3 linked regions of the Bombyx mori genome follow. The protein of the gene in region 1 interacts with the protein of each later gene in a pairwise test. Links are inferred from orthologs where the notes say so. Each region holds a gene or a part of one and is shown on either strand. Other genes may lie near its edges. The genes, in order: DNA repair and recombination protein RAD54-like, Rad51 and tef2.

Region 1 (7,406 bases):
AATGTCAGGGACAGAGCTAAGCTGCTGCCTATCTAGTTTAACTGCTAATATGTATTGGCAGTATTCTATTTATCTTCATATATTAGTATCTCGTCCCTGCTTTCTGCCACTGCCACAGTATAGTTCAAGCCTACACCGGTGGTGCAACCATGTAAACATTCTGCTGCGAAGCATTCATGTCAACCGAATTAAGGGGTCGCATAGTAATTTTAAGCCTCCACCATGTCTCAAGCCGACATTGACTTAGAGATGTCTATGAGCTTGGGTAACCAAACGTGATCCAGTCACCCTAGGCATTCGAACTAATGGAAAAAAACCTATACCTACTGTTTTTGTGAATACTGTATTCAATTTATTTCGTCACGATTTAAGTAACTGAAGTAACTTATAATACGCGCTTATTCACAAACACTACACAAGCGCAACGTGTGAACGTGTTGAACGCGAGCTACATGGTAGGCGGAGTGGGGGTGTTAGGTTTTATTTTCGTTACGGAATTTCTTGATTCCGTCGCCGCGCTCAAAGCCCGCGATAAACGCTATGCAATGGCTTAATATTATTTTATAATAATGAGGGTAAACGTAAAATGGTTGTGCAGTTGACGCGAGCTCAGTTGGAATGTTTGAGGATGAGCGTCGGAGGCGCATGCTGAGCGTCAATCCAATTTACGTTCCTCGCAATTGGATCCTGCACGAAGCTATTGTTGACGCCGAAAAGGATGACTTTGGAAAAGTATAGCCTAACTATCTAAGCACCGAACGCGACGAAGGGTTTGTCGTGCAACTTAACCCACTAAGTTTCACGCCGAATCTTCGCAGTGGGTCGCAATTTCGATCCGGTAGTAGTATCAGTGAAGCACTGTTCTTGCTAGGGCTAGTGTTAAAAAATTCGTCAGGCCGAACTCTGTGAGCTCACCTACACCAAGCGAGCGAAACTAACAATATAACCCCTCGAGGTTACCTATTAGGACAGGTAGGAAAATAATAATTAAATAATAGCAAAATTACTTCCATGGATCGGCCTTTTTTTTTTATTATTGCCTAGATGTGTCGACGAGCTCACAGCCCACCTGGTGTTAAGTGGTTACTGGAACCCATAGACATCTACAACGTAAATGCGCCACACACCTTGAGATATAAGTTCTAAGGTTTCACTATAGTCACAACGGCTGCCCCACCCTTCAAACCGAAACGCATTACTGCTTCACGGCAGAAATAGGCGGGGCTGTGGTACCTACCCGTGCGGACTCACAAAAGGTCCTACCACTTTAATAATAGAGTCGATCTCTCGACGGTTTGCGCTCAAAGGGTTATCTTTCTAAATTATTCACCTATCTCAGGTACAGTTCTTGTTGGAAGTTATAAGACGTCCCTACGACATTAACCCAGAGGCTGAATTACGTGGTTTCTCAGCCCAACCACCTCAATGGGCGTACGCTTTGAAGATCAGCTGCTCAACATAGATTACGTGATGTGTGAAATTTTTGTCAAATAATATCAAATTATCAATTCAGTGTACATTTTATTGATTTTCCCTCCAAAAAAGACTTAAAAAGTTTTATTTCTGCGGATTTACGATTTAACATTACATCCACGATAATAGTATATTTAAATTATCCATAGATGATTGGATGGTAGTCTGGAAGAGATCGCTCTTAGCGATAAGACCGTCTATAGTACTTTATTTTGTATTTAATGTTTCGCAATGTTTCTTTTGTTGGTGTACAATAAAAATACTCTCTCTGTCCCTCCAATTGATCTAGTGCAATGTATGAAATAAACATTAATTTCCTAACAAGTTAACACATATTGAAATAGTTTATTTTTTTTTTTGTGCCACCAAACATATTATACCAAAATGTCTGAGAAAAATGTGTACTGATTCTTTCTTTACGAAGCACAATAATGAAAACATTCAAAATTTCAAATAAATATATTTTCTCCACAATTAACTTACAAATAAAACAGATATTTACAATCAACAAACTAAATGGCTTAATTTTTTCAATGATTACCCACAAAAAATCATGAATAATCTTCATCAGCACTGTCATCTGGTTCAGAGTAATCTTCATCATCCATGATTCTTCTTTTTTTACTTACTTGTATATTTTCTTTATCTTCTATAGTTATCTCCTTAGCCTCTGTTTTTGCGGACCGATGATGGAAAACAAAGGATATACTTTTTGCAACGTCCCAGCATTGCTTCAAGACCATGTCGGCTATGTTTTTCTTGTCTGCACAGTGGTACCAATTGGAAATATCAGATGTGCAATCAGAATTTTCAGGTGGTAGTGTAACTTGAATATTGTTTACACACCTTTTACATTTAAACTTACTATGAGTGTCCGATAGTGTGTTCTCCTCCAAACGGAATAGGTCTTTCAAATCATCTGCTGTGAAATGTCTTAGAGACTCCTCATTTTGGTCAACCACTGTCTCGCTGAGTGCTTTTTTGTGTGCTTGCCTTTGGAATATTTTTTCTTCAATGGTTCCAGTAGCCAAAAGTCTGTAAATATAGCATGGTTTTTTTTGCCCATCGCGCCATACCCGTGCCATCGCCTGCTCATCATTTGCAGGATTCCAATCAGGGTCAAACATGATTAGCCTGTTGGCTCCAATGAGATTCAAGCCACAACCACCAGCTTTGGAACTTAGCATGAAAATCCACTCTTTGGAGTCTTTATTGTTAAAGTTTTCCACCACCTTGGCTCTCTTTTTTATTGTCATTGAACCATCCAATCTTACATATTGATATGTACGTTTTCGACATAATTTCTCAAATAAATCTAATGTCTGAGTATAATTTGATACGAGCACAATTTTATCATCTGTATTCATTTTAAGATTTGCCAGTATGCAGTCTAAGATCATTAACTTGCCTGAATATTCTGGTCTTACATCTTTTATATCATAGTTACTTGGGAGATAGTCTTTTGCTTTTTCGAAACCTTCTGTTCTTTCTATAATCTTTTCATAGATCAAGTCTGGGTGGTTACAGAGCTTCTTCAAAGATGTAATGCTGGACAAAGCACTTAGCGTATTGCTTTTTTCTCCAGTGCCTGTAAACTTGTTACGAATTGCATCAGAATTTATGAAATTCTTGTAAATTTGAGTCTGTAGTGGAGTCATTTTTACACAAATAACTTGCTCAAATTTAACTGGCAAATATTTAGTTAATAGACCACTAGTTCTTCGGATCATGCACTTGTTCACAATTGAAGTTAATGTTTGCAGGCACTCCTGGGCTTTTTCTCTCTCAGGTTGACTTGCCATTGCATCTTGTCCCTTCAAAATAGGATTTTCATATCTCTTTTTGAACTCATGCGCAGTCCCTAATATTCCTTCATTAACAAAATGTACTAAACTAAAATATTCAGTTAAATCATTCTGGATTGGTGTACCTGAGATTAATATTCTCCTTTTAGCCTTCAAACCCATTAATGCTTGGTATGTCTGATTTTCGCTGTTCTTCAACCTATGCCCTTCATCACACAGGACTAAACCTACTTCAGAAGAGTGCAATATATTTGAGTATATCCTGAAAGTTTCATATGATATGATTAAGACTGGTGTGGCAACTCGAGTCGCAGAATATGTGTTCATAAATTGCTGTAGTTTCAAAGTTACTTCAGCTTTTGAACCCCCATCCATAGCTAAAGCATTTATCCTTTGCGACAGCCACTTATGTATTTCATTGTACCAATTTTTTACTAAACTGCTGGGACATACTATTATGGCTTTACATATTGTTGGTTTACAGTCTGGCCCTTGACGCAGTAAGGTCCACAGTAAAGTTATGCACTGCAAGGTTTTACCTAAACCCATTTCATCAGCCATTATACATCCATATGCATTTTCTATTTGTTTCCCAGTAACGCAGTCATACATGAACTTTACTCCTTCTCTCTGGTGCGGCCTCAGTATGTTTCCAAGTACTGGATCAACTACAACAGCAACTTTTATGTCATTAGGATTCATTTTCATTCTTTCGTGTTCCGGAATGGTTGGAGGGCGTTCGAGGACCAGTGAATTGGGTTCGTCTGGGTCGTGGAGGGCCCTTCTAAGTTGCGTTCGTTTTAATCCTAAGCTTTTACTGCAATACGAGGAGACATAGTTTGATATAGGAACTTTAAAGGGCTTACTAAGTATTTGACGGATAATGTTTTCGTGATCTGAAGAAGGTAAAGTTTGAGAAGGAGTTTTCTGTGCTAGCGGTATTCTTGTGCATTCTCGTTTCTTTCGCTTGGCGGAGTCTAGTAATGGACTCTTGAAAACACTCTCTCCAGAGCCTATTTGGCTTGGCGCTCGACTGCGGCGCATCTTATTTTACACGTTACTGCACATATTTGGGAACTTTACTCAATGTTTTCGAACTCAGCAATTTGCGCTATTTAATGTAATCTCCTATTGATGTTTTCACTTTAGTAAGAACGATATTCCTTCATTATTTAACGCAAACAAGATCGGACTTGTTTGCTTTTTGAATTTTTAATAATTTTTATTAACATTGACATTTCCAACTGAAACTGTCAAACTCGTAGCAGATAATAAATTAAATTGACGTTAGTTTCATTTTGGACAACGTGTTTTTCAAGGTACCTGATTAATTACTACTTATAAGTTTAATGTTACTAAAATATATTTGTATACACGAGCCTATTCCTGAAAATCCTGTTATGCCTTTTCTTTTTTTTTCGGGCCGGTGCGGTGGCCGGACCTTCTATGAGGTCCCCGTGGCTAGGGGGCGCGCGGGGTATGTGGGACTTGACGATCTGCAGATGTTGGAAGCAGACTGCGGGCCCAAGGAGTTTTAGTTCTCACCTTCATCCAAAAGTTGCAGCGTGACAGCAACTTCAAATATAGATGCATCGATGGAAGCGATCTTGTCCTTAACATTGACATATTTATAATGGAGCTGCGACCATGACCGCTTTGCGAAGGATTATTATATGAGCACCATTAAGAAGAAACTTAAACTACACATATAGAAAACAAAATGTTGTAGGTTTCGTAGAGGTCCATCGCCAATTTTTAACAAGACGCTACACGATGGTAGAAGCCACTAATATCAATTAGTTTGAATATTACCCTTTCTAAGGGTCAATTCCCACTGAAAGAGCAGCGGCGCGCAGCGGCCGTAAGAGCAAGTGACTGAGCGCGGCGCCGCAAGGGGCAGTGTGGCGCCGCGCGGGGCAGTGCGGCGCCGCGAGAGGCAGCGCGGCATCCCGAGGCGCCGCAATGAGCCTCTGCGTGGTAGCTTTGAAAACTAGTGTGCGATCTACTTCACTCAAGGAAAGTTGTGTGGCAATAAATATGGTGGATTTGGATTTATGTATCATAGCACTGGCTGTAGAAGAAGAACAAGATACCCTCTAATAAAATAACGCGAAATGCGCAAGCGGCAGGGCGAGCGGGTATGAAATGGTCGCTCGCGCGCAGCCGCGAGTCTGTCAGCTGCACCTCGGTCGGCCGCACGTCAGCTAGCTGCGCCGCGATCAGCCGCGCGGCGCCTCTTTTGACTAGTCGGTAGAAAGCTCGTGCAGCCTCGCGACGCCACGCTACCCCTCCTTTGCCTTCAAATGAACTTTTAATCACGTAGATAAGATTCAAAATAGTTTGTAATATTTTGCCTCAAAAAGACGCTGCCGGCCGCTGCTCTTTCAGTGGGAATTGACCCTTAACTTTAATATTAATTGTATTGTCTATCTATGTACCTTTTCTGTATATAAATTATACAACACTTTTCGATTTCTTAATTATTTATTATTAGTTGCATTGCAATAAAAGTAAACATTTTATGAGAAAATACTTTATTAAAAAAAACACTTGAGTCATACCTGTAATTATATGCATCACAGACAATTCTTAAAGTTTAGGATCAAAATTGTTTTCAACAGTAATATATAAATTAAGCACATATATGGCTGGTAACATTTTCAGTAAGTCACAGGACATTTTCAATGTAGGCACTATTTTTCAAACAACTCGGCAATTGAATTTAGGCTAATTAAAAAATATATATTTATAGTAAGTATAGCATTATTTGCACTAAGTAGATACAGGTAACCTCTCTAACCCTCCAGTAAATACGTTCCTACAAATTCCTGTGTTATGTGAAACCGTGTTATATGTATGTAATTTTTTTACCTATCATACATAAAAAAATTGGCAGTAAAATTTTATTCCGATATATTGTGTGCTCATAGTGGACAATGTAATTTTTTAAATAATTTTAAACATAGATTTTGTAATCGTTTTTTAGAAGTACCGTGTTACAGAAGGGGTTACCTGTACAGTAGAATGTAAGAAATCCTTCAAAGGCCTAAATCGCGCCAACGATTTCATAGATAATCTTGCAATACAAACGTCCCGGTCAAGATTCTGAGTTTGCACTATTACGGCAAAGCCTGCCAATGAGCGGTTGATGATTCTCGGAAGAACTGTGCAGCCTCATAAATATGATGAAAATTTATAAAGAATGTCAAATTCGTATAATTCTCGACATTACAAGCCCATAGACAAAATTTCAATTATTGACATTATAATCGATACCAACGCATTCAGATATTTCCACAAACACTTTTAGGACATATTTTTTAAAGTTACTCATTAATAAATAATAGTTTAAAGACAAATCTCCAAGGAAATGACAAAAAACTACACGACAAATGTATTGTTCATCTAAAAGAGACTGTTATAAGTTCAAAACAAGTACTTTTGCCTGTGACTATACTGCTACCTACACACGCAATGACGAAATAATGACAGAGGATTTGATGGATCTTTGCTATCAAGATGGAAGATCTGTAGGTACAAAAAAAGAGATAGCAAATAACTTTCTTCTGAATATTTTTTTTTCACTTTTAATCAGATGTTTTAATAAACTTATAAAAGTAATCCTCTTTGTAGAATATTATAGTAAGTTTCCGATATAAATTTACCATAAATTTAGAATGATTGTGAACAAATGTGACATTATCATGAATCGATTTAGAAGATGTCTAGTTTTATGGTAGCACAAACGGATTACTTATAGTTTGTGAGAAAAAGAAAAAGTCGTTTTTAACGAATCAAAAACAAAGTAAAAAAACATTATACATCATGCAGCATGAAAGACTCACTGAGAACACTGTATCAAAAGATTTTAAATCTTCTAAAGAAAAGTACAAAAAGTTCAAACAAAAAAAAAAGTAAAAAATTAACATCATGGCAACACTGCTCGTCCTGTAGGTGTTGCCGGCGCTAACGATGCGGAATCCCAGTCGTCTGGTCACATATTTCCAGATTATTTTTTAGGCATCCTGATGACTTTGATGTTCGTATCATCATACACACAGTCAGTTCGCGATGGATACACTGACTTCAGGTTACCATCCGGGTCGACTACTTTGACCTGGAAAATAT
Region 2 (7,440 bases), on another chromosome or scaffold:
TATCAGTTTGCCCTAAGTCCTCATATTGGTAAATATTCTTCTGACCTGATACATAAATAGAATTATTGTGTACGCACACAGCTGGATTTTGTATTGTATCTGGTAATTTGGCAATCTTCCTGTGTGTTCTTTGTTTTAAATCATATATGACAGCCGTATCAAGTACAACTCTAAAATGAGAAAAGCAAAATTTATTATTGTAAAGTGATTTTATCAAAATTTCAAGGAACAAAACAATTTATAAAATATTACCTTTAGTAACTATTATTTCACAACAAAATAGGCACATAACTGCGAATTGTCTTGATGCTCAGAGAATACAGAGTTAAAATAAATAAAAGAAACCAACCTAAAACCACCTACACCTCCAATAATGAACAATGAGTCTCCCATAATAGCAACTCCACCATGTCTTCTCGATGGTAATTCAACACCGTGCAAGATCCACTCCTTACGGAAAGTGTCATATACTTTAACATCTTTCATGAATACACTCGTACCTCTACCATGTTCTCCACAAACCAGAACAAGTTTGTTGGCACCCCATGCTACCACATTCCAACCCCATAAGTTTTTCTCTGCAACTTCCAACCATTTTTCAAGGCCTGTATCTTCACTAAATGTATACATATTATGCGATATCAATTCAGGTTTTGTATCTTTGACTATCCAGACTGGTACTGTGGGTGTGAATATCAGCTTACGATTAACACTTGCACTTACTAACTTAAAAACTTCAATATATACCCTGGCAGTGAACTTTTCGCATAGTTCATCTTTCCTTTCAGTCAAAGTTATTATAGACAATTCACTGTGTTCAGTAATCTCTAAAATACAATCAACTACTTTAAGAGGCAAACTATCAACAAAATCCTTTATAAGGATTTTTATTTCTTTGATATCATTATGACTCAGTCTTTGTATATCTAAACATCCTAAAACTATCAATATAGCATCGGCCCCTGTTTCTGAATTTATAATCCATTCGTAACCAAATCTAAAAACCTCTAATTCATTATCAGTATCTAAATATGGATGTGATAAATACCAAAATAGTCTATGAATATTTAAAATGTACTCTTTTTTCATTTGTTTAAAATTAAGTAATCCAAATGCAGCACTCAGTTGCTCTAATTTAGTATAAGAAGAGTTTTCTGCTATAATCATTGTCTCCATCCAGTTTGAGACAGAAAGATGGAGATCTAAACAGTATTCAATCTGCTTAATTAATTCTGTTATTTGAAGAAAGTTCGCTGCGATTGACAATTCTCCAATAGTTGTCAGTGAGTATTCAGAGAGATCTATCAAACCTATTCTCATGTATTGAAGTATCATGTTCATTGAGTATGCATCAACCATCTGGAAGTGGATATAGAAAGAGTAATTTTTTTAATATTCAGTAATTTACAGTTCTTCTTGTTTACAGTCCTTTTTTATTTTTAAGTTACACTATCATATTGTAGGTAGATATTTATTCCCACAGATGTCCTCAAATGGACATAGGCCTCTCCCAAACCACAATGATCGGCCTGCACTGCTTGCGTCCAGCAGATCCCGCATACCTCAATAGGTGGTCTGTCCAACGTGTGGGAGGCGAGGGAGCTAGTGTGGGTAGCCACACTACGTCTACGGTACGTTCTATACATAGAATATTATAAATAGAATAGTTAGCTGTCAACAGCCTACCCTCACCAAACGTTCCACAATGAGGTATGATTGAGGTACCATTAACATCAAGGAATCGCAAAATTATCAATTTACTACCCACTACTACTAGATAATTATGATTAAAAATTAAACATTTTGCGATTATTCATAGAGTTAAATCCATAATTATTGTTTTAATTGTTTGTCATTTTATACATTAATTTAATTTAGCTAACATAATTTATAATTTTCCTTACATCAATTTTTATTTCCTGTCGTTCGTTTTCAATATAGTTTCCACTGAACATTGCGCGAAAATAGTCGCTGTACTCGCACAAAACATTTTTGTTCGCCGTGAATCTCTGATTTTCTATTAAAAGTGTTACTTCTTGAGTGTCCTCCATCTCCTTATTAAAATCCAATAATCATATGTTATAAATGTTCAATAGAGTTAAATCAATTTTATCAAAAAGCTAACCCGCAAAAATTTAAATAAATTCGTTGGCAGTGGGGTACGGTATTCTGTATGTTTATGTTTACCTCATGGAGTTAATAAGTACCTAGTTTACCTACATTCGTGTTTCTATGTTTACGACAACGCAGGGAGCAATTGTCACTTGTCAGTTGCACCCATAGACCAGTGGTTGCACCTAACAGCTGATTTTGAGTAATAGGTTCCATTTTTCAAACTGGAAAGGCGAAGGTATGAAAAGGAGATGAAGTTGATTAATTTAAGACATTAATAAATTAGAATGAAATTAAATGAAACAAGATAATATGGGATGAAATATAGTCTCAACAAAATGGCGGTTATTTAGGTAGTTCCGTTTCACTTTTTGGAAGATACCGAGAAGTTACGTCCAGTAGATTTGTTTCCTTTTCCCACATTTGTGCACTTTCACCGATACTAAATAGTTAATAAACCACCATTATTAAACATTAATTAGAAAACTACCATTAAGTAAAGGTTAATTACAGAGCATAATGTGACTCAGTGACGCACAATGCCGAATTATGCTGAAGCTTAGTTGAGCATTATGCCGCATAATGCGCTCTTGTGCTGTAATTGGAAAACGGCCAGCATGTGTACATCTATGATTGATCTTGACATTTAAGCGGATGTGACTTTTTGGCGGGAACGCGAGGAGTAAAGTTGGGTGATTTGTTTCATTTTGTCTATTTAGTGTTTCTTCAGGTTTAAATGTGTAATAGCAGTGGTTTATTAACTGTTTCATATCTGTAAAAGTGCACAAATGTGGGAAAGTGAAACAAAGCCGCTGGACGTAACTTCTCCGGGTCCTCCAAAAAGTCCACTGAAAAAATCTCAGTAAATGACCACCATTTTTCTGAGATTATATTTCATCCCATATTCATCCCATCATATATTTCATCCCATTTCATCTCATTTAATTTCATCTCAATTGATTAATGTCACAAATTAATCATCTTCATTTCATTTTATTTCACTCCATATGAGGCCTATAAAATCAAAGGCAGCTAAACGCCTCAATGTCGCAAAATGGATTAACAATGGCGCTATCTTGTTTAGTTAGTTGGACACGCTTTAGTGTTTTCATGTTATAACAAATGCAGCTAAATCTCTAACAAATTCAGATCAAAAAATTTATTTTTACTCTGTACTAAGAACTAATAAACGAAGTTTTATCATTTAAAATTCAGATTATTAGTAATATTCTCAGTCTTTATGTGCTTAAAATGTGCTTTAAATTAAAGAATATCGTAGCTATCCGAACAAAGCTATTTCAGCTTCTCAAACCGGGAGTGTTGCTAACACTGGCCTTACCAAGAGCAGTACTTCGATGGATCGGGAGGATCCGTAATGACGTGTTTAGGGCTGATTTTTGCAGTTTACCTGAATATTTGACAGACTTGGATTTAGCTGCCTTTGATTTTATAGGCCTCATATTATCATTTTTCATAAAAATAAGAATATAAACTAAATTAAGACATGACTTAAAGGTTTTAGTTACCAGGTCATAAAATCTCTTAAAAAAATAAGCGGATGTCTTCAGACTTCAGTGTCGACTTTAAAAATAAAAATAGTGATTGAAATTTTAACGCGTATGTTACTTACAAGTTTGCTCTAACAAACAATAAAAAAAAAATTAGTTAAAATTATTTTATAATCCAAATCGTGTACTCCAAAGACACCTAACCTTGTAAAGTTATTTATAAGCAACTGAAGTTTGAATATTTTTAAATGAGCCGGTAATTGTTTGAAAGCCACGGACAATAATGAATACCACTGCTTCAGCAACTACGACTTCTTTGGATGAAGATGCTGACGAATGCGGGCCACAGCTGATCAGTAAATTAGAGGTGACGTCATGTGACAAGCTATAACTTGCTTACAAATATTACTGGATTGAACTGACTTATTGGATACAATGCGCAACTTATACTGTAGATAAATTCTAATTTATTCCATTCTCTTAACTATATTTCTTTTTAATGTGTATATGAAATAAATAAATAAACATATTGGATGATAATAAAGTGCTCCTAAGAATCCTATCTATTTATGCTTAAGTAAATCTACATATCCTGCCTTGGAGAGTAAGATATCTACATTCCAAATAAAAGATCTCTCAAGAAAAGAAAAAACAAGGGTAAAAGAGGGTCAAGTTTATCTGCTCTAAGAATTTTCAAATAGATCTCCAGAAGACACAAAAACGTTCTGTAAGAACAACATGAGTCTATGCTCATATTAAGTCAAATTCTCAGTTGTATTGCATTTGATGCTACTTAATCGTTCAACCTTACTTCATTGCAACATTGTGTACATCATATATATATCTAAATTTGGATTGTGATAATTTGTTTGTTAAATAATAAAAATATGGAATAATTTATTTTAGGGCAATGGCATCACATCAGGAGATATAAAAAAGCTTGAGGAAGCGGGATATCATACTGTTGAATCTGTTGCCTATGCTCCAAAAAAATGGCTAATCACAATTAAAGGGATATCTGAAGCGAAGGCAGATAAAATATTAGCTGAAGCATCTAAATTGGTGCCAATGGGATTTACAACAGCTACTGAGTTTCATCAAAAGAGGTAGGTACCTTTAAAATTATTTATTTATATTTTTTATTATTAATTAATGAAACGCCAATATGGCTAAGGTTAGTACAAAGTTGTGGAAAACATTTAACACATGCAAAGTATGTAAAAAAGCAAAAAAATTAGTACCTTCCTGCAGGATTTGTACCCCGTCTTTGTTACATAAATTGTTATGTCTATGTATCTACCTTAGGCTATAATGACACAATTATTGGACCTGACATAAGGGACACAGCTCAAATCCCAGTATCGAACTAGTAATGTATAGTCATATTCTTGACACAGAAAATAACTGCAGCTAATACTTGTATTAGATTTTTTTAATTAAACCAAATCTACATTGAGTATTGTTTGAATTCTTCCAGGGCTGAAATAATACAACTTACTACTGGTTCAAAGGAATTAGATAGATTACTGGGAGGTGGTATAGAAACTGGTTCTATAACTGAAATATTTGGTGAATTCCGTACTGGCAAAACCCAATTATGTCACACATTAGCAGTCACCTGCCAGGTACAATTGAATTAAACCAATTTGCAATAAAAGTATATAATAATAAATATTAATAATGTATACTATAATGATATGTGATAATGTGTAATATTGCATAAAAGACGATATGTGTAAGTGACTTCATATAAGAGCGGAAGTGAGCGAAGAAATGGTTTATGATAGAGGTATGGTAGGAGAAAACATATTGCGCCAATCCCAGGTTACTGGGAGTAGGGCAGGAGAATGATGTTGATGATGAATGTATAATATAGGTAACGTAACGGCCGTCTGGTGTAGTGGTAAGTGACATGGTCACTACACAAGGGGGTACCTCTAACACAAGTTCTTTACGAACTTATCACGGGACTAGTTAACGTGGTGTGATTGTTAGTAAATAAAAAAAAATAATACTAATAATAAAAATAAAAAAAAAAATAATAGTCATAAATGTTCATTTAAAATATTAGAACTGTAAGGTCATATTTTGATGTAAAAAATGTTTAGAGGTTAACAACAAAGGGAAGATCTTCCACCCAGCAGGTGTAATTTCTCAGTGGCAGCCAAAAAAAATTGAGAAAAAATTGTTCAATGAACAATGTCGCTTCTATGTAATATTGTAAAATGTAAAATATCTAATAATTTCATTATTTTTTTAAATAGAAATCCCATATTGGTAATTTTAAATTACTGAAAACCAATTGCCTTGGCCTTATTAAATTTTCCCAGCTACCCATTGAACAATCTGGTGGAGAGGGTAAATGCATGTACATCGATACAGAAGGAACATTCAGACCGGAAAGACTGCTGGCCGTTGCACAGCGATACGGTATGGAAGGTGCGGCAGTCTTGGACAATGTTGCATATGCAAGAGCTTATAACACAGACCATCAGACCCAATTGCTAGTGCAAGCTTGCGCCATGATGGCAGAGTCAAGGTAAATTATTTTATAATAGATCTATTTAATTGTTTTTCTGAATTTGTTATAAATTTTTTATTGTTTTTACTTGTGAATTATTTTTATACTATATATATATTAAATAATTTGATTTTCAATTAATTTATTTATTACGCATTAAAAATTTATCTTACGTGCATACAATTTTCAGATATTCCTTAATTATAGTTGATAGTGCAACCGCTCTATACAGGACAGACTATTCTGGACGAGGGGAACTGAATTCTAGACAACTACATCTGGGTCGTTTCATGAGAATGTTGCTCAGATTGGCTGATGAGGTAAGTAAATATTCCACGTAGTTTCCTATATTAATTATTTCAGAAAATACAACTGTAATTTAGTAAAGTGCTTACATAATTAAAATCGTATTGTGAACAATTTGGATTTTCTTTATAAATATTTCTATCTATTGAAACAGTTGAATAATGATTTCGAATTCAAATCACGGATGGTATTTATTTTCAAGTGAATTTTAATCCTATTATGTGATAAACGTAAAAGTTAGATTGTGTTATATTTTGAGAGGCAGTGTGTATATATTTCATGTACATGTATTTTGATGAGTTACCAATAAAGTTTCAAATCTGTCATTCCAGTTTGGAGTAGCAGTAATCATAACAAACCAAGTGGTCGCACAAGTGGATGCTGTAGGAGTTTTCAATGCTGATACCAAGAAACCAATCGGAGGTCATATCATAGCGCACGCGTCCACAACTAGACTCTATTTACGGAAGGGTAGAGGTGATAATCGCGTGTGTAAAATATACGATAGTCCGTGCTTGCCCGAAACAGAAGCTATGTTTGCGATTAGCGCTGAAGGCATCACGGATGCTAAGGAATAATAATTTAATTAAGGTGATATCATCACTGCCATCAACCTTAAATATCATTTTAAACAACGTAGTAGTGTATGTTAACAAAGAAAAAAATAAAATAAAAACTGGAAAAGAAACAATGAATGTACATAATATATATAACCACTCAAAATGAAGAAAATGGCTCTAAATCCAAAAAAAAAATATGATGGAAAAATAAGTATATTGGAACATACACTCTTAATTAATTTATATAATTTGGTAGATTATTTTAGCTCATTTAAATGGCAACATCAATTTGTGTGAATGAGCTTAGAACATGTTGGTAGCGTAGTGATGTGTGAATTGTTTTATTTTGTTAATACAATAATAACTTACGGACTTATTCATCGCGACTTATTGGACATTTATAATTTTCCAAAAAATTATAAAGGTCCAATAA
Region 3 (7,155 bases), on another chromosome or scaffold:
CGAGTACTATCTACCATCTATATTTTTGGTCATTTATTTGAATCACACTTAGCAAGAGATTTTATATATATTTACTAGCTGACCCGGCAGACTTCGTAGTGCTTCAATCGATAAATAAAAGATCTACACTTTAGTATAAAATAAACTTAAAACAAACAAAAGGAATTTTGATATTTATCTACCTTTTAAACCTTCTCTGGACTTTTACAAATCATTCAAGACCAAAATTAGCCAAATTGATCTAGCCGTTCTCGAGTTTTAGCGAGACTAACGAACAGCAATTCATTTTTATATATATAGATTTATATGTAATAAAAGAAAGGTACTAATGTTTATGTTTAGAACTTATCTATTCGTGTATTAACACGAAACAATGGAGTGCTCACTAAAGCGAGTAGCGAATATCCACTCATTAGATTACCTAAAACGGGACTAATTTTATTGCAACAGGAAAAACATACAATTTGTACAAGCCCTATTCTTACATTTGCCACCCTTATCGATAGCAATCAAAATACTCCCCAACCCAACCCTCTAAATTTGCCCTCATTCTGAATTCCAGTGAAGACCAGACAGTAAAATTCAAATTAATAATAACGAAACACAATTAAATGCTTATGTTCATTGTAGTTTTTCATTAATTGTTAGCTATTTTTTTAATTATATTTGCAATAAAAAATTACATCGAAAAGTATAAAAATCATCTAGCATCTCAAATATTAAGTATGATCTAGTTACATGATTAAACTGAGTGTTTTTATTAAAATGTGATAATTTTGGAGTGTAGCGACATCTATCAACAACGAGTCAATGTTAGACATTCTACTAGACAATAGGTGGCGCTCATTTAGGCTTAATAAAAAAAATGGGTTAAATAAATTGTGAAGATGTAATCTATCTGAAAATTACACCAATAAGCCAATCAAGTCAAATTATTTTACATGATAATAGCATAGACCTTTGTAGACTGTCCCGGCTGATGGGGAGGTGTTTAAATTACTAAAAAGCAGTCAAACCCGACAGGCAAAGGGACATCCTTACAACCAAATCTTTTGTAATAAAAGTAGGGCGTGTGCTATGAAAAGTTTAATCGAAAATGAAATAAATAAGAAATAAACAAGAAAAATGAATATTTTTTTAAAAAATTGTGAAAATTTACTGAGAGTTTATTGAACTTTTTAGTCGAGTCATGGAAACCATATTCAACAATTTCGGTGCATTTTCGTAAATTATCTACTTTACCACATACAAAATAAATAATTAGTCATGATTCTTACACGTTTAAGACTGAAAAACAGTAGCAAAAATATGAACTTAATAAATAATGGGAACGCCAGAAAAAAAGTTGTACGAATTGTTATATTTTGTCAATTTTTTTTTACTAATTTTCTTTTTGCACAAGACTACAGAGGTGGACTAAAAGCTTAAGATCTTTTCTACCAGTCAACCAAAGTTGGTAAAGTATTTTGAAAGATGCATTGCTTTTACTGAAAAAACCTAATTCATAAAATATAGAACGCATAAATATACACAGCTCATACAGCACTATATATATACATCCATACATTCCACATATATTCAATATTTATTATATATTTATGACAAAAAAATTATACAAAGTAAGTCTACTTATTAGATATTCCTGCCAATTCATTTAGCAAAAGTTGCCGAACCCTTCATTGAGAGTTATATACGTGATCAGTGATCATCTTGACATTGAGAGGAAGTAAAATTCAAATTAGAGATGTACGTGGGACAGTCAAGTAATAGATTATTAGAAGAACGCAGAATATATTATGCGAAAAATGTAAATTTTTAAAGTACCGTACCTACCGTGCATGTTGTCAATATCGCTGACGTAAAGCGAGAAAATTTATTTTTAAGCGCTATGTAGAGATGTGGTCATCCTTGCGGAGATTTAAAATAAATCAAAAGCAGTTATTATGAAGGCGGTCGGGTTGTTAAAAAAGGTCTTTCATGTCAAAATAAGAAAGATCAAAACTTGATGACGATGACGATAATCTAATAACCATTTTACTGATATTTTATTTCACCTCATTTCCATCTAGTTTGATTGAATATAGTTTCAATACAATCAGCTTGAATTCAGAAGATCAATTTAGGCCACAAAACACCAAACAAATTGTTATTCAGCCAAATCTGTTACGCGTCATAGTATTCAAAAAGATTACTAACAGACAATCTTGAAAATCGACTAATGCTCAATAACTCGTGTTGACATCTCGGAGTAAGCGTCTGGCAGCATTATATGTTGTCTATGACTCTTTTTATTTGACGTCGACCTGCGACATCCGGCCCTCGCAAGGGTCCTTTTTCAAAGCGTACGCCATTGCTGGCGTATGGTAGTTGGTTTAATAGAACAAAAATCATAAACCATCTAAAATGGTGAGTAAGGAAATCAGTTTTAGTGACCAGTAAAGTATCCCGGTGAATGTTTTCATACGTTTCACGTGCATATTTTATTAATTTGACGGAATAGTTACTGTAAAAGTTCTGCTTTGTTCGGGTCAGGTCTTTGTGAATTGGATGACGTTTTCAAGTGATGTGGTGCTTAAAGTGTTCGTACCGAGACTTCAACAATCACTCATCTCAAATATAATTAAACATTAAACAACATAATAAAACTAAACCTTTACAATATCGTGAATCTAAGTGTTAAATGTCTAAAATCTAACATCTGTGTTGTGTCAGCATGATGAGCTATTATTTCGTATGTGCAGGTGAATTTCACGGTAGACGAGATCCGTGGGATGATGGACAAGAAGCGGAATATCCGCAACATGTCTGTGATCGCCCACGTCGATCACGGCAAGTCAACCCTCACGGACTCGTTGGTTTCCAAGGCCGGTATCATTGCTGGTGCGAGAGCCGGAGAGACCCGTTTCACTGACACGCGTAAGGACGAACAAGACCGTTGCATCACCATTAAATCTACGTAAGTAGCTTCAAAAATACATATTGCCACATGGTGCACCGAACGTCATTGCCCTTGAACTTTTATGAGGTTAAGTTAACGAAAAATCTCGTTATATACAAATTATTATTGCTTTAATGCAAAAGACCACATGAGTGTACCAGCTGCGTCGTTTTAAATAAATATAACGTGCCTTTATAGTAGCTGATGTGTCGAAAAAGATTTCTCAGAAATGGTTTTTATTATTTACGAAATTTGCAAAGGAATCCGAAAAGGTTAGACCACACTGTTAGGTTAAGTTTTAGTTATCATGAAATACACCACGATAGAATCAGGTCAGTCATTTTCTTACTTTGGGATTGCAAAAGTGATTAAATTTCATAAAATTTTAATAATGTGTAGTAATTAAGTAACATTTTACCAACTAATCATGTTTAAGGAAAAGACAAATAATAATACATTAGTAATGTTTTGTTCAACACTTGGATTTAATTTAATAGCAAGTTTACTAAAAATTCTCTGATCTAAATGATGAATGTTCTTTACCATTAAAAGACTGATATGAATATTGAAGATCTTTTAGAACGGCCATCTGATGAATCATAAAAACTAAATTTGGGAATATTAAAAAGTACCATGAGTTTAATATCACGAATTTATTACCAGGGCCATCTCTATGTTCTTCGAGCTTGAAGAGAAAGATTTAGTATTCATCACAAACCCTGACCAGCGTGAAAAGAGTGAGAAAGGTTTCTTGATCAACTTGATTGACTCACCTGGACACGTTGATTTCTCTTCTGAAGTAACAGCTGCACTCCGTGTCACTGATGGAGCCCTTGTGGTTGTTGACTGTGTGTCTGGTAAGTTGAATATTAATTTTTAATAAAAATATCTTATTTAATTCTTTCTCATTGATTTGTTAATGACCAGTAATAGAGGAGCCCTTTATGCTATTTCCATTAAGATTTGAATATGACTAAATATGAAATTACTTAAAGCTACCTTTCAAGGTAGGGTGAAATGCTTGAAAAATCTGATATAATATATATAGTTGGCAGAAACTCAGGAGCTCAGTTTACAATTAACAAAAATTATTCTACTCAAAAAGGGCATTGCACTCGTAAGCTGTAAAGCTCAAAAAGTTGCATCAAAATTTGTCTAGTCAGTTTTGCCGAGACTAACAAAAAAACTTAGCAATGTAAAAATATTATAATGAAATTTAATTTTGTGTTAACCAGGTGTGTGTGTACAAACTGAAACAGTACTGCGTCAGGCTATTGCCGAGCGCATCAAGCCTATTCTGTTCATGAACAAAATGGACCGTGCTCTTCTTGAGCTCCAACTTGAAGCTGAAGAACTATACCAGACGTTCCAGCGTATTGTAGAAAATGTTAACGTCATTATAGCCACATATAACGATGATGGTGGTCCCATGGGTGAGTATTTAAAATAATAACTTCCTATAAAATTATCTGCAATAATCACAAGATTCTGTACAGTTTCCTTGAGTTTGTTCTGGCATTTTTGGGAGTTTCTATAAATTTCAAATAACAAACGGTTGATGGTCACAGCTTTTGTTGGACAACATTGAATCTTTTGATATCATGTTTTGGACACGTGACAAGACGCGCGATAGACGCTAGCGTGTAGCCATCAAGGTCATACACGGACGCACCTGTTATCTCTACGATTTATATTTTGTAGCCATTAAACTTACATTTCACTTTTTCATTTTATTAGAATTATAGAAACAATGCATTTGTGCACAGAAGTAGGTTGTAAAAATTATATTTTATTTGTAATCCAAAATTATAAATTAATAAGTTGAAGTTTATAAATAATAACTAGAATTAAACTCAATAAAAAATATACTGACAGATGTGAATCCATAATAAATGGCATTCAAAGAAAGTTATGGACTTTAAAGGCAGTGTCTTATCAGGCTATTATATTGATGTTCCAAATGGTGGGTAATTTCAAAGCAAATACATACTTATAGCATGCACTATCAGATTCCACAATAAGAGGGATCATAAAGTAATAAAAATAAACCTGTGAAGTAATAAATTTTGCATAAATATGGATGATAGGATGTGTATTGTAAGCTTACATATGTGCATATTTAATGAATCGTCTTTGGGTTTGTAAACTTTTCCACCAGGGACTCCATTATATTAATGCTGTTGAAAATTTGACTTCATGTCTTGAAAGTTTTTCAATGACACACAAACGCATTCACAATTTGATGTCTTTGCCTGGTGGATTTAACACCAGATGGGTCCTATCAATGCATTAAAAAATATTTAAAAAGTTTTCTTCAACAATATTCTTGTTGCGTTTTAAAGACAGATCCCACCTAATTGTATCTCAAGTATACTCAAATTTGCAAACCAGGATAGCCAAGCCAAAATTCACAAAAGCTCTGCATCAAGAATGGGAATATAAAATTAAAATACATTTTGTCTAAATCAGGTGAGGTGCGTGTCGACCCTAGCAAGGGCTCTGTTGGTTTCGGGTCTGGTCTTCATGGGTGGGCTTTCACCCTCAAACAATTCTCTGAGATGTATGCTGACAAATTCAAGATTGACCTTGTCAAGCTTATGAACAGGTGAGGTTTTACTTAAGTAAAAATATCATTGTACTGACAATCATAAACTGGGTGTATGTAATACAACAAATGCCCGCTGAGTTTCTTGCCAATTCTTCTCAGGACAGAGGCTAGTTTTTGTGAATTGGCGGTAGTTCTTTTGACTTTCATCAAGTATGTACAGTCAAAATCTGTTATAACGACATCGAAGGTACTGCTCATATTCAGTCGTAAAAACCGATAGTCGTAACAACCGGTGATGTTTAATGTGTATCGTGCAAGTACAAACAAATCGATAGGGAATTATTGGAAAAATATATTTACATAATACGCGGTTTTTCTTCAATATTAATTTGTTTTCTTTTTCTTAGAGACATTTTGATAGTTTCAGGAATAACTCCACAAAGTTTTGTTGTGTCTTGTGTATAGATAAGTAACAAACTAACTGAAAAGATATGAAGAAGCGGGCTTTGATACCGCATGCACGTGTTTTGTTTCTAAGAATTAGAAAAGACCCTACACTAAACTAAATCCTATTGTTTTCTTTCTTGATTTTAAAAGCCATTGAAGACAAATGTGGATACTTATTCAAATTGTTTACAATACAGCTTAGCCGGTCGTTCTAACAGATCTAATTCTCCGAAATATTAGTTAAATGTGGTCGTTTTATGAGGTATGTCGTTATTACCAATGTCGTAGAAAGCAATATTTTTAATAAGGCGGTCATATGGCATTCAGCCGGGACCTTTGTTCTTGGTTATTATAACCGGTATGTTGTATTAAACGATGTCGCAGTAAACGGTTTTGACTGTACTTTCATTTATGTTGAATAATTTTTTTTTTATTTGATTTGATTTCATAATGATTCTGGAAGTCGAGATGGTAATTTGGATTTTTTTCTATTAATTGAATGCTAAGGGTCCTTAATCTGTTGTCACATAAATTAAATAACTGGAAATTGAAAAAATGGAGAAACTGTAATTGCTCTATAAAACTTGCAAGAAAGCAGCTAACACTGACGTAGTTGAAGGCGGATGACGTCATCATCCAAGCACAACTACTGCATTGCAATATTTATGTAATTTGGAAATGTTCAAATTCAAATTCAAATTCCACTTTTCAACTATTTCAAGTAAAGTTCACAAACTTCTGCACGCTGTTTTTTAAGTTATATTATTATGTAACAACAAAACATACAATTTAAATGTTTTGACAGAGACCTATCATTTTTTTAAAACAAATCATATGCTTTTAATCCAATTTATTACTAAAACAAACCGTAAATTCGAATCACAACGTCCACATATCTTTGCAATAAAAAAAAATGAAATAAAGAGCTGTAAATCTTTAAAATAACAATAAACGATCTTACAAGTATCAGCACCTGCTGCTTAGAACAGCAATATTTTCCAGACAATCTTCTGCAAAGAAGAACTTTCAAACCTAAAGGGCAGTTGAGTCCGCACGGGTAGGTACCACCGCCCCGCCTATTTCTGCCGTGAAGCAGTAATGCGTTTCGGTTTGAAGGGTGGGGCAGCCGTTGTGACTATACTGAGACCTTAGAACTATATCTCAAGGTGTGTGGCGCATTTACGTTGTAGATGTCTATGGGCTCCAGTAACCACTTAACACC

The links.
Region 2: the proteins of DNA repair and recombination protein RAD54-like (region 1) and Rad51 interact in a two-hybrid assay, tested with the Caenorhabditis elegans proteins (3 studies listed by BioGRID). The link is inferred for Bombyx mori from reciprocal best matches to the Caenorhabditis elegans genes rad-54.L and rad-51.
Region 3: the proteins of DNA repair and recombination protein RAD54-like (region 1) and tef2 interact in a two-hybrid assay, tested with the Caenorhabditis elegans proteins (2 studies listed by BioGRID). The link is inferred for Bombyx mori from reciprocal best matches to the Caenorhabditis elegans genes rad-54.L and eef-2.

Annotation. Positions count from the first base shown.
Region 1 is NC_085122.1:1,511,639-1,519,044, forward strand, and holds DNA repair and recombination protein RAD54-like, read right to left. Parts: upstream 4,556-7,406; 5' UTR 4,323-4,555; coding exon 2,025-4,322; 3' UTR 1,918-2,024; downstream 1-1,917. Other genes in the region: protein adenylyltransferase SelO, read left to right, coding at 599-732, 1,340-1,462; leucine-rich repeat-containing protein 47, read right to left, coding at 7,288-7,395.
Region 2 is NC_085131.1:10,826,737-10,834,176, reverse strand, and holds the start of Rad51 (rad51 homolog), read left to right. Parts: upstream 1-2,778; 5' UTR 2,779-2,974; intron 2,975-3,627; 5' UTR 3,628-3,903; coding exon 3,904-3,987; intron 3,988-4,526; coding exon 4,527-4,726; intron 4,727-5,097; coding exon 5,098-5,245; intron 5,246-5,950; coding exon 5,951-6,159; intron 6,160-6,331; coding exon 6,332-6,461; intron 6,462-6,779; coding exon 6,780-7,025; 3' UTR 7,026-7,440. Other genes in the region: kelch-like protein 26, read right to left, coding at 1-170, 350-1,359, 1,905-2,054, 2,221-2,328.
Region 3 is NC_085125.1:13,069,034-13,076,188, reverse strand, and holds the start of tef2 (translation elongation factor 2), read left to right. Parts: upstream 1-2,306; 5' UTR 2,307-2,403; coding exon 2,404-2,406; intron 2,407-2,741; coding exon 2,742-2,956; intron 2,957-3,449; exon of another isoform or gene 3,450-3,559; intron 3,560-3,601; coding exon 3,602-3,795; intron 3,796-4,173; coding exon 4,174-4,371; intron 4,372-5,407; coding exon 5,408-5,543; intron 5,544-7,155. UniProt on the Caenorhabditis elegans protein: Catalyzes the GTP-dependent ribosomal translocation step during translation elongation.